3 linked regions of the Drosophila melanogaster genome follow. The protein of the gene in region 1 interacts with the protein of each later gene in a pairwise test. Each region holds a gene or a part of one and is shown on either strand. Other genes may lie near its edges.

Region 1 (4,815 bases):
GTGCGTGTGGCTTACTGGGGAACCCAGAAAAATCGTACTACTCGTACATAAATAATGCAATAAGTTGGGGCCCCACCGAATCGAGACAAAAACAGAAGGTGGAAAAATTGAAAAAAAAATCGAAACTGTTTTTGCATTCGCTGCACACATACACACACACCCATCAAACATCACACCTCTTCTGCTGTCCGAACACTCGAATACTTGAATACTCGGCTTTTAACCGAGCTTTGCACTCAATTTGATTGCCGGCAGAAGCGGCTGCAAAATCCACGGTAGTCACATGCGACACATGTGAAACACGCAGGGGAGGCCCATTTTACGGTGAAGGCGAAGGTGTTGCTTTTGTAATCGGCGGCCTAGGCACATTGGTCGCAAAACAACTAAAATGGGTGGTCAAATTTGGTATGTGACTCAGTTCAAAATATACAATATACATATATATCCAAATTAGATTATTAAATGGAATGTACAATTTGGAATAATCAAATATTTTTGAAATTATCTTCCTTGTCAAGTGGCAGTATACGACGTTTCATGTTAATATTTAATATGTTAATGTTAATGTTTAATATTTATTATTTAATTTAGAAATATTAAAACAAAGAAAGATTAACGCCCATGGTAGTGCAAAATTTGTTTTAAAATTAAAAAAAATATTTTATACACTTTTAATCGGGCATTTCTCCATATCATATTACCACTGTACTTGCACTAGTTCGTGTGTGGGCGTTTCTAGGCGATCCCTTGTACCGCGCCCAGTCTTCGAAGTGCAAGCGCCGCTAGGCGACGAAGGCAAACAAGTGTTTTGGGTGTCTGCTATACTCGTAAAATGCGAGGAGGATAAAAGCCCATGGAACGTCTATCGGAAAGCTTTTGGAGCGTAGATTAATGTTACTGGCTGTGGTCGGTCTGCTGGCCGTGTTGCTATTTTGTTATTTACCCGCTCGTTGCCAGTACGGTTATTTATTTATTTATGCTAATGTTGCTGGCAGAGCCGCTGACGCTGCATTTGCATTGTTTAGAATGAGAACAGCGAGAAAACGAGCGCAGCAACAAAAAGGGGGCACAGACAATAACAACAACTATAACAACAACATGTGCAACAGCAACTGCAGCTACAGCGGTAGCAACAAAAACACGACAAGTGGCACTCACGCGACAAAGGCCCATATATAAAGTGTTCTCATGGTTATCTCGTTGCCTGTGCGATACTTTCAAGTGTTTCACATGCAGAGGAAAAATTGATTTTTATCAATATAATAAACAATACACATATTCACATACATAATTCACTCACTGCAAATCATTTTCATTAAATCCAATTCATAGTTTTAAGATTTCACAAATTTGTTTAAGCACCCTAATAATATGTACCAAAAAAAAAATTTCTCACTGTGTGCGGATATTTTGGATACAAGCACATAGAAAGTTCGAAGTTCCCATCGCGTAGAAATTGATGGAAAATTCTCAGCACGTTCGTCAGTTGGTTCTGCTGCTCCGCTTGATTGACAACTGGGCGTCGGATCGCCCAGCTCAACTTGAATCGTTGAAGTATGGGCTTGAAATGCACCTGTGGCTCCAAACTTCGACGAAACCAGAGGCGAAGATGTCGCCGCTGGGCACGATGATCGATGGGGATCCAGATTCAAAACCAAGTTGATTTACCTCGACGATTCAGCGGATATCACCGAAAGTAACCACCTTTCACAAATGGCTAGAGTTAAGTTTGATAATAAGCAGAAATGGAAATCAGAACTAGCAGAAGTTAGGTGTACTCAGCACTAGCACCTATTGTTATAACAACCAAAAACTCTACTAACTTTACATATATTTAATTATTTAATTTCAATCTATCCAACATACCTTAGTTATTATAATCATTCAGAGAACACTTAAATAATTTTAAGCTTCGAAATCGATCTCTGTTCTTGATATATTTTCTTATTCACCATGAACTCCGACAAATCGGAAAGTGACTTCGCGAACAAAGTGCGCTTTCACCTCAGTAAGGACGAGCTGGAGCGGCAGATGAGGAAAATTCACGACCGTGAGGAATCCGTAGACGAAAAAATGCGTCCATCAGGAAGCGAAAACAGCGGTCATAATTGCAATACGAGCTCGTCCTCAAGTCTGCCACGGCAGGAGTCCTGGATCTTCGAGAGCGTTGGGGGTTACTTTCTCGCCAACGAAAATTTGGCCAAGATGAGTTTGCCTTGTCAGGAACAGTTGCTGATGAGGGATCTAATCTATGCCTTCTCGGGTGTTCCATCTGCATATGTAAAGCCTGATATTCAGATCGATCAGATTTCCGAAATGTCTGCAGTGGATATAGCCAAGATTCGCTTTCGATTGAAAAAGACCTTCACTGGGGCTTTTAGGGCTTTGGCCAATGAAACATTACCCCTGATAGGTTATTATATTAGTGTACAGAGCTATATAGAGGAGACCAATATGTCGCCTAACTGCGGAAGAACACGACTGACCTTAGCCACTGCCTTAAGTGATCAACTGCAGGACTATTATGATCTACAGTCCAAGTTGGAAACGGATTTGCAGGACAAGAAGTTGGATCTCAAGGATCTGGTGCGACAGGTGCGTCCTTGGTTGCCTATTTTGAAGACTTTTTCCAACATGGCCAGCAGTGCCCGTGGCAATTTGACCAGCGCCCAGGTCCTAACATTGCTGGACCAGTTCTACCGGGATCTGAAGGACACTGATATAGATCTAAAGGAACGAGTGAACAAAATTTTGACTTCGACTAGTCGAGCTTACATGAAAATTGTTCAGCTTTGGATGCAAAAGGGTGTTCTATTCGATACGCAGCATGAGTTTTTTGTGGAGGACACGGAGCCCTCGAGTACAATGAGCAGTACTCTTTTGGCGCCGGAGAAATGTTGCCACGCCTACTGGGCGGAACGGTACCGCCTTTTGCCAGACCGTTTGCCCGGTTTCTTGCTTTCCCAGGCGGATGATATTTTTCTGGCCGGAAAGTACCTAAACATTTTGAGGCAGTGCAATGTTTCATTGAAGCTGCTACAGCGGCCACTAGCTTATAGTCAAGGCGATTTGGGACATGAGGAGATCATTAAAACAAGCTATGAGCTGCCAGCACATAAGTTTCTCAAGGTTTTGGTGGAGGAGCACAATTTGCCTTTACACATTCGCAATTTGAAGTCCTATTTCCTGCTGCAGGAGGAAGGCTTCTCCGAAACTTTTCTGCACAAATGCCATGAGTACCTAAAGTACAATGTGGAAAGGTTAATTCCCGAGAAGCTACAGACTCTTCTAGCAGAGACCCTGCATAAGTCCAATGATTTCATTAAGGATAATGTTCGCTGTCAGCTTAAGGTTTGCGATGTAGCCACACTATTGGGTAGGCAACATAAAGCACAGAGAGCTGTAGAAGATGAAGAAGAGGAGGAGAAGGAGAGCTGCAGCGAGCAGGATCCTCCGGAGGTCCTGAATCTCTACGGCTACGAGGCATTAGCTCTTGGCTATGAAACAAAATGGCCACTAAGCTTTATTATCTACCCGGAGCTCCTAGAGCAATTGCAGATGTTACAGCGTGTCCTGTTTTTTTTGCACTATGTGAAACATCATTTGACAGTCCTTTGGCAAAGTCCTTGTGAGGGTACGGGTCTCCAGCTAACCAATCGATCTGGAAAACTTCGCCACCGCATGCTAATGTGTATGCTAAGTCTGGAAAACCACATCATCCAGGACATCACCGAACCCCGATGGCAATCTTTGACCTTAACGGTGGACAAGGCAAAATGTATCGACGAGGTACTAAACAAATTGGAGAGCACCGTAGAAGAATGCCTGCGTCTGGGGTTACTACCCACTGCCAACACGTTTGTGAAATCTCTATACACACTCGGTCATGTGTGTCTCAACTTTTGTGACTTTGTGGAATCCTCGATAGGAGAGAAAAGTACCAAAGAACTCGAGCAGGAAGTGGTCGAGTACGAAGAGGAATTTAAAAGCTTTTTGACCAGCATTTTGGAGTTGGTTAGCCAGTTGGCTAAGACGAAAGACATTGCGGAACGGGACTCCTGTAAACAATTGCTCAAACGACTTGGGGAGTTAATTGAGTTCTCCGATTTGGATAAGGATCAAATAGCTTCCAATATTTAATCAACGGCATCAAAACGTGTCCAACAGCTTCGCCAAATCACCCGTGCTTTTTACTCTCCATGACCCATGGAACATTTAGTGCTGTGTTTACTTAACTATATTATAAGAGCGTTCTTGCAAAATGAAGTTAACTCTTTCATTTACTTTATTAATCCTTTGAGATTCAAAAAGCTATCAATCCATTATCCACAAGTGTGAGCTTGTCTTATGCGTATGACACCTGTGGCGCTCTTCCACTTTTAAGTTATTGTTAAGTGGCGCACAATGGGCGTGAATAATCGATGTGTGCGTTTAATTTCTGGCCAACGAGCATTATGTCGAGTCACGGTGGCAAGTTTGGGGGCTAGTGCAACGAAAGCGGCGATTTGCATAAGATCGTAAATTATTTTAAATGGCGGTAAAGAGATTTTAATGCAGTCCCGCAGCCTCAGCCTCAGTCTGGGTATAGCCCGATTCGTTGGAGGGGCCAAAGCCCGCTGCCAATTTGAATTCAAAGGCCAATTGTTATGTAAATGCACTTGCCTCAGTTGCAGACGCACGCAAGCGCACGAAAATTGTATTAATAAATAAATGGGGGAAAAAAAAGGAAAACTCGCGAGCGGCTGTCCAGAAATCACTTAATACTTATCGCTTTAAGGACAACAGGTGGTCGACGTCGATGATGATGATGCAACG
Region 2 (2,836 bases), on another chromosome or scaffold:
GATTCAGAGAGTCCCGAGAGACTTTTCTTGATTGACCGTCAGAAATTACCATGTTTTTCTATCCATACATTTAATATTTACCCACGTCGCCCCTCGAGGCAAAATCGTGTCTGCAAACTTTGCATAATAGACGTGCAAATGTTTGCCAAATATTTGCCGGCTAAGGAAAATGTGTAAAGAATTATTGGGAATTTTTCGGGGCTGAAAATTGGATAAATATTTGTGGCTTGACAACATTTTCTCAAGCTAAAGTTTGTTTTCACTAGAGTTAAGGAATTTAATCGCATTTAACCAAATACAAATATTTGCACGTTGGTTCATTTCCTTTCTTCGTGACAACGAAATACTTTATTTCTTTTTAAAACTTTAAACAAGTATTTACATGACTATATGTAAGTTAAGGAGAAATCCCCGGAAAAAACCAAACATGACTCATTAAAGAAACGAGGAAAATCTATTGATATGCAGGCTCAAATTTGAATTGAAAAGCTTATTCGAAAAAAGCTTTACCATTTGCCAATTTTCAGTTTATTTATCGATAACTTTGCTCTAGAAGCAATACTTTCGTCAATAGAAATAATTAAGAGTACCTACCTACCTATTCGCTATCAGCAAATGCTGATATTGAGCTTTTTTATGACGGCAAATATTTTGGCGTTTGTTTGGTTAGTCAGTCCCATGAGTTGGGCATTCGCTTAATTCAGTTACCAGCGATAAGTCGACACATTTGGACGGACTTTCTACAGAAGATTAGTGCACCACTATGCCACCACCACCCCACGATCATTGCGGCGGACCGCCTCATCGTCGTGGACCCGTGATTAAGGTACAGATTGCACCACCATGGCCACGCCGCCATCACCGCCCACCACCCCAAGTTGTGGTGGTGCAGCAGCAGGCTCCGCCACCGCCACCAGTCATGGTGGTGCAACAGGCGCCTCCGCCACCGTACTACCAAAATCCACCACCACCACCACCGCCCGGCAGCAGCCACTACCACAATCCACAGTATTGAGAAGGAACTTTGATCTGTAAAATCCTTCACAATGAATTTATACCACGTAGCCTTACTTAACAACTATATGTCCTCAATAAAGTATAACCTTATAAACTAAGTTTTAGTTTATAGTTTTTAGTTTTTTTGCATATTTGTCATGAGTAATGGTTGAGTTTCAATCGAGTTGATTCCATCACACACACTCCCTCTTTTTATTATCAAAATCTCTAATCCGTGTTTTTTTTTTTTAAGTCTTTATCGGAACACCTGGTTAATTTAGACGGCAATCACTTGTTGTTTTGTTAATGTCTAGCAAAACTTTAATTCATTTTCACCAATGCTCTGTCAATGCTTCTATGCTCCTATATCAGAAATAATAACGCGTTACCCATAGATAAGCCGGAATCAGTTAATATAGTAAACAAAATGCGAGTAAAATAGCGAAACCCGATCACCTGTAAATGCACAACTGTCCGGTCGCTGTTATCAGACCTTGTCGAATGACTAAGCCATCTTATCTTTGCCTCTAACCACTGGAATAATTCCCACAAACCCTGATTGATGGAGCTTCGCAGTTCCAGTTTGTTTCGAGCTAGACGTGTTGTGCCACGGACTTTCCAGTATTCAACGCGTTGCTGGGTGGTGAAGTTGGTTCGGTTGGCTGGTTGATTATTTGGCTAGTTAATCAACTATGCGGTACTATGAAGATCCATGTGGCTATCCTCCTCGCCATCACCATGGTCGTCCAAATATCGAAATTGATGTGGTTCCCGGTTGGGGTGGCGGCTACTATCCGCCGCCGCCTCCGCCTCGGCCCGCCGAGGTAGTCTACATGACCCCGGCGGCTACCTATGTGCCCGGCACACAGGTGATAATGCCGCAACCCTACGGCGGCGTCACGGTGGCCACCACCAATGGATACTATCCGCAGCAGCAGCAGCAGGCGTACGAGTATCAGTACCAGTATCAGCAGCCCTACAACAATCCACCGTATCCGCAGTGGTGAACGAGGTCGGAATGGAAACGAAGCCATCACCACTAACAAAAAAAAAATATACTATCGATGGAGTGAAGGAAGGGATAGATAACAAGAAATCAAAACAAATATCACTTTGTCCTAATCTTAAGTTGAAATGACAACGCAAATGGTGCAATGGTCTTGACATTACGCACCACAAAGTTAACAAGTTAATAACCAGAGGAAGGTACAAAAAAACAAAACTGGAATTTAACTTTAACCGTTTCAAAGAAAATATAATTGTGCTATATAACCTTAAAACGAAATAAATAAAATATCTTGCTCTTCAAAAAACCTACCCGTCTTTAATTCTAAAAATATTCTAAATACTGCATTATCGATTTTATTTATGTTTATGTAATTTAGTGTGAGTCATCAATCAGAAGCATGGAATTAAGTCCTTCCTCTTAAATATAAAATTGTGATTCATGGAAACCTTGAACTCTCCTCATGAAATTCAATTCGGAATTTCGTATTTATCAAATGGCACTTATCAATTTTATTTTTTTTTTATCGAAAAAAACACATTTATTCCACCTGACAAGATAACCAACTAAGCTACTGTGCAAAACGCACATAACAAAATTAGGAAAAAAAATTCCCCCTCATTAGCGATAAAAATTGACTTAAATAGTTAAGCAGGCGAAGAAGCAAGTTCAGTTCGAGAAAGCAGTCAAAGGCATTCACTTCACCCACTAAGGATACAATACTTGGATAGTTTCTGAAGAAAATGCCGTACTACGAGGAGGAACGTCGTCATCACCATCATCACCATCACGGTGGAAGGCCAATTGTAGAGGTGGACATTGTGCCGCCAAGGA
Region 3 (4,994 bases), about 15 Mb from region 1:
GGCAAAAATCGATACTCGAAAATATACTTTATATGGTTGGAAACGCTTCATTCTGCCTATTACATACTTTTCAACGAATCTAGTATACCCTTTTACTCTACGAGTAACGAGTATAATTATCTTAATATATCTTAATATCTCCTTTATAAAGGTGTTAATTTTGTGCACAAAAAGTGGGTAAATTTCCCATAGTGCAATGGAAACACCATTAAAGCGTCGTGTAAAAAAGTTGGTCAATTTTTTCTAATGGTTTGTACTGTTCCGGGATGGCACAACAACTTGGAATCACATTTATAAGTTTTTTTTGTGAATTGAAAAACTAAACTTAAATCGCAAATACATATATCAATAGAACAATATGAATGTTCTTACTACGTAAAATAATAGGCAATTTTCCCTGGCCCCTAACGGAACCGAAGTCGCCCTACTCAGCTGATTTTATCCCAATCTGACACGCCCGTGACATGCTGTTGCCTATCCGAAAATATTTGTGTACCACGGATTACATTGCAGTAATGGATTTAATTTAAGCTGTGGACCGCGTTCGACTCAACTGCAGATTCATCAGCGCCGAGAACGCATACTGATAAGTCGAATCAGAATCAGACAAAGCGGTATGCTGCGTTCTGCTGAAAAAGGAAAGGGAGAGCGAAAACACGGATGGCTGTGTTGGTGCGATTGATAAATACGAGTTCATTCTTAAAGCTTATTTTTTAGATGACCAAGCGGGAGACAACAACGAGTAAACAAGAGCAACAGCAACAGCGGGCAATAAAGTTGATTGCAGCAGTGGCAAATTGAATATTTGCCAGCGCGCGTGTGTGTGTGCGCAGCCTTTTTGTTTGTGCTTGTTCGCATTGTTAAATATCCGCACCAGCAGTGCAGCCAAATGGGATGATAGATGCCGAATGCCGAATGGCGCGCGAGCAGAGCGAGTGGCTACCATTGTTAATCCGCAGTTCGTCCTCTGTGCCCCTTGCCTCCTCCCTCGCTCATTCCTGTGCCACAGCTCAGCTTGCTACCAAAACTCGACCTCGACTTCATCCCTTGCTCTCTCGGAACTCTCATGCTCAAGCTGTTGCTTCAGCTACAGCTCAGCGTACAATTGTTGCTTTGCGGAGACTGCGCTCATTGCCGGGTGCTGCCAATCCTGGGTGCAATCCGTTCATTATTTATCCGGCTGGTGGTAAGCAAATAGCGCTCACAAGCCACTTAGTGCTATCACTCTTGGATTAATCACTGGGCACGGCTCGGCGATAACGTGTCACTGCCACAAACGGAACCGCAACGGCGATAAATATTTTTCACAGCGAAAATAACACTGCCTAACAAAGTTTGAAACACTGTGACTAGAACATTTCCAAACTTCAGCTATTTCTTCAGCTATCAGTTATATATTTTAGAATAGATAAACAGAATATATATAATGCCATTTATGTAATGATTTCGATGAATAGATAGATGGCTAATATTTTACCGGTACTCCACCAAGGTGTTTTAAAGAAGACGGCTTTAAAGGTTTCCTATAATATACATTTTTTTATTAAATTTCATTTTATTTATTTTAAAATGCGTCCCGTTTGAGTGGAGGATATGTCTAATATAGTCCTAAATAGATACCAAGTAAATATCTTTTCGTATCACTCCACACACACACAAAAAGTTGAGTTTATAATTACATTATTCACGCAGCCCTCTAGGCTCCCTCACTATGCCAATTTCTTTTGTTGTGTAGTGTAATAGCATAGGATTGGCAGCCTCCGATTGTTTACACCAGCGTAGGCGGCACTGCAACAACAACAATAGCATCCTCTGCTCTCATTCTCTCTCCCGTGCTTTGCGCTCTGGAGCGGAGCAGAAAAGAAAAGCGCCATTCGCTCACTTTCTCTCCGGCTCTCTTTGTGCTGCTGCGCCAATTTGCAAGAAAACTAAGTTGGTTTGCTGTGCAGTTGTGACAATCGTCGAGGAGAGCAGCGGCGCACTCTCTAAAAGGAAGCTGCCAAGCCAACGAACGGCCAAGCGAGAGGTGACAAGTGAAAAGTGGCAAGTGGATGTACCAAATAGTGACAGGTTCACTAGTAGTAATCGCAAGTTAGCTGCCCGTTTGGCTGCAGATTTTCGTCAAAGTTCGCTATTCGTGTTGTTTTTTGATGTTTTCGTCTCTCTCGGCTGTCCGCATAGGCAATGTGTGTATACATATACGCGATTTCACACTGACAACAGGGCCGGGCGCGTGTATGAGTGTGGTTATTTTGCCGTGTTGCCGAACATCTGTATCTGTATCTGAATCTGTGGCAGCCAATAGTTGTGGCAAGGCCCTCGAGCAACTCGCAACACAACACATAACAACAGCATCCCCAATAAGTGGCAGCAACTACGCCGCATGGCAAAGCACCAACGGCCGCATTTGTTGTTAATTGAAATAAATTGAAATAAATTCCCCGACTTTGCTGCTCATATTGTTAATAAAGAGAAGCCGGAGCGACGCAACAGCGAATCAGCAGCAGTAAACAAAACTGTGAGCAAAAGGTTTTAGTTCCATTCCAGGCGTCAGACGACTTTGAGTACAAGCGACAAACAACCAGAACATCTAAGGAATTCCGAGCGAACAATGTGAATAATGTTGGTATCACAAGCAATTGGTGGCAATAACCAAAAAGAGCACATGCGTTTATTTATAGACCCCAGTGTGTTCCCATTAGTGAGTGTGTGGCGTGCTGTGCACTGCAAATGAGTTCAAGCTGCAGCCAAAGAGAAGGAGGCGTCCTACCAATACCAATCCTTGTGTAGTCTTGTTCCCTCCACAATCAGATCGGTCGCAGACCAACAGTAGCAGCTGAAATTCCTCGATCGGCACACGAAATCGTATGTAAATACTTTCCTGCCGAGTCAGCCTCTCAGAATGCCAATGTTTACAGTATTCGATTATTGTTTAACTAACAGCCTCTTATGGGAAAGTGGAATACATACATTAATTGATGGGGGAGGTGGGGGTTGGGGTTTGTAGGGTCTGCTATAAGCAGATTTCCCGTATTTGATTTGTCCCCTCTGTTGTCTCAGTTTCAGTGGGACCCATACTCCCGAAAATCAATTGTATTTAACTGTGCGTATGCGATTTCGAAAACAAAAACACCCCTCCTGCTGGGGTCATTGCACCCAAGGTGCGTGGGTGCGTGTGTCAACACTTTTGAACCCCTAAGCACCCACCCGAGAAATACGCCGAAAAGTATGCAACGAACATGGCGACCATCAGCACAAGCAACTTTAACGATTTTCTCACCTCATTTCTATACTTACTTTGCAGCGCAGCATCCGGCGACACAGGACATGCGCAGTGGCCTTTTTGGTAGTTGCATTTCGGCCAACAGCGACTGAAAGAGCAGAGAGCGGAGGAGCATGGCCTTTTCCCGCCACAACATCGAGAAGCGCCGACTCATCGAGCTCGTGCGACTCAACCCAATCCTCTGGGACTGCCGCCTGCCACACTACAAGCGTTCGGACAAGCGAAAAGCCATCAAATGGAACGAGTTGGGGCGGCTCTTCAACGTTAATGGCGAGCGGGTGCAGCGCACGTTTACTTCGCTCCGCGAGATCTTCCGCCGCGAGCTGAACCACGAAAAGATGCTGGGCACCACGCGCTTCAAGTCCAAGTGGGAATACTACGATGCCATGGCCTTCCTCAAGGAGGTCATTCGGGAACGCAAGTAAGACGACGTTTGACCTGCCCTAAAATACTACCTTATGATATATGTAGATCCCGTTTAAGGGATTTTGGACATTCCAGTTATTTGTTCTAGTGTCTTTGGAAAAAGGGTTTACTAAATTCGTTGAAAAGTGTGTAACAGGTAAAAGGAAGCGTTTTCGACCATATAAGGTACATATATATATTTCTGAACAGGATCAATAGCCAAGCCTCGAGCTCAGGAACTATAAAATACCACACTTTTGAAAAATGTTTTCATTTTTCTTGGTTTCATTTTTTTTATCTTACCGATATACCAAAAACACTTTGGCTACGCCTCTTCTGAAAAATTCAAACCGCTCACAACAATTTTAATTCCCCAATATCTATCGACAAGCAAGGAAAATTATAGAATTTCGCGTTCGCACTAGCTGAGTAACGGGTATGTGATAGTCGGGTTTTCGACTACAGCAATTGTGTTCCGATTATAATCACTGAAAAAGTTGTTTGAGCAAATTCGGAGAGAGGTGACCGCGAAATAATCACCGTCACTTAAAAGCCTAAACATATTTACATATTCAACATTTAGATTTTGATTTTACGCGATTTTTAAGTTTTTATTGTTATAAGAAGAATGATTAGTGTAAGGGATTGGGAATATAAATGTCGAGATAGTTCTCAAAATAATACGCAAGTCACCTTCCTCGGTTACAATAAATTTACATTGATTTTACTGAAATCAAATCAAATAAAAACTAGTTAAAGAAAATAACTGTTGTCTACCGAATAAGAACAATGACGCAGATAAGAATATAAATGTCTAGATAATTCACAAGGATTGTGTGCAAGTCAAATCTAAATTTAAGCATTTAGGAAGGGTATACATAGAAATTCTATTAAAACTTTGAATTTGTTTCATGTGGTCGGTCCAGAACTGACCAACAGGCAAGAATGAAATGCATGCCTGCGGATCTGCATCATAGCACCTATCTGCTAACCTTGAGGCAAGCACCCGCTTTCCAAAAAAGCTAATTACAACTTTTGCTTTTTAGATCTCGCGAGCGCATCAAGCACGGCTCTTTGGATTCAGCACCAGTAGCCACAGGCAGCAGCAACAATAACAACAACTGCGTAAGCCGCAATAGCAGCAACAACAACAGCAGCAGTGCGGCCCTAGACGAATATCAGTACTTTGCTCCTAGCGACCCCAACAACCCGAACAATCAGCCCCAGCTGCAGCCCGAACCAAAGAGTAGTCTGCCAGTGACTATTCCCAGTCTAAGTCTCACCCTCAGCCAGTTGCCGGTGGCTC

What was found.
Region 2: the proteins of t-Grip84 (region 1) and CG15422 interact in a two-hybrid assay, tested with the Drosophila melanogaster proteins (one large-scale study listed by BioGRID).
Region 3: the proteins of t-Grip84 (region 1) and CG12768 interact in a two-hybrid assay, tested with the Drosophila melanogaster proteins (one large-scale study listed by BioGRID).

The regions. Positions count from the first base shown.
Region 1 is NT_037436.4:7,588,057-7,592,871, reverse strand, and holds t-Grip84 (testis-specific gamma-tubulin ring protein 84), read left to right. Parts: upstream 1-1,873; 5' UTR 1,874-1,953; coding exon 1,954-4,140; 3' UTR 4,141-4,264; downstream 4,265-4,815.
Region 2 is NT_033779.5:4,003,368-4,006,203, forward strand, and holds CG15422 (uncharacterized protein), read left to right. Parts: upstream 1-1,616; 5' UTR 1,617-1,688; coding exon 1,689-2,003; 3' UTR 2,004-2,303; downstream 2,304-2,836. Other genes in the region: CG34176 (uncharacterized protein), read left to right, coding at 764-1,015; CG15423 (uncharacterized protein), read left to right, coding at 2,746-2,836.
Region 3 is NT_037436.4:22,908,530-22,913,523, forward strand, and holds the start of CG12768 (uncharacterized protein), read left to right. Parts: upstream 1-1,961; 5' UTR 1,962-2,043; intron 2,044-2,303; exon of another isoform or gene 2,304-2,622; intron 2,623-3,060; exon of another isoform or gene 3,061-3,226; intron 3,227-3,304; 5' UTR 3,305-3,396; coding exon 3,397-3,704; intron 3,705-4,734; coding exon 4,735-4,994.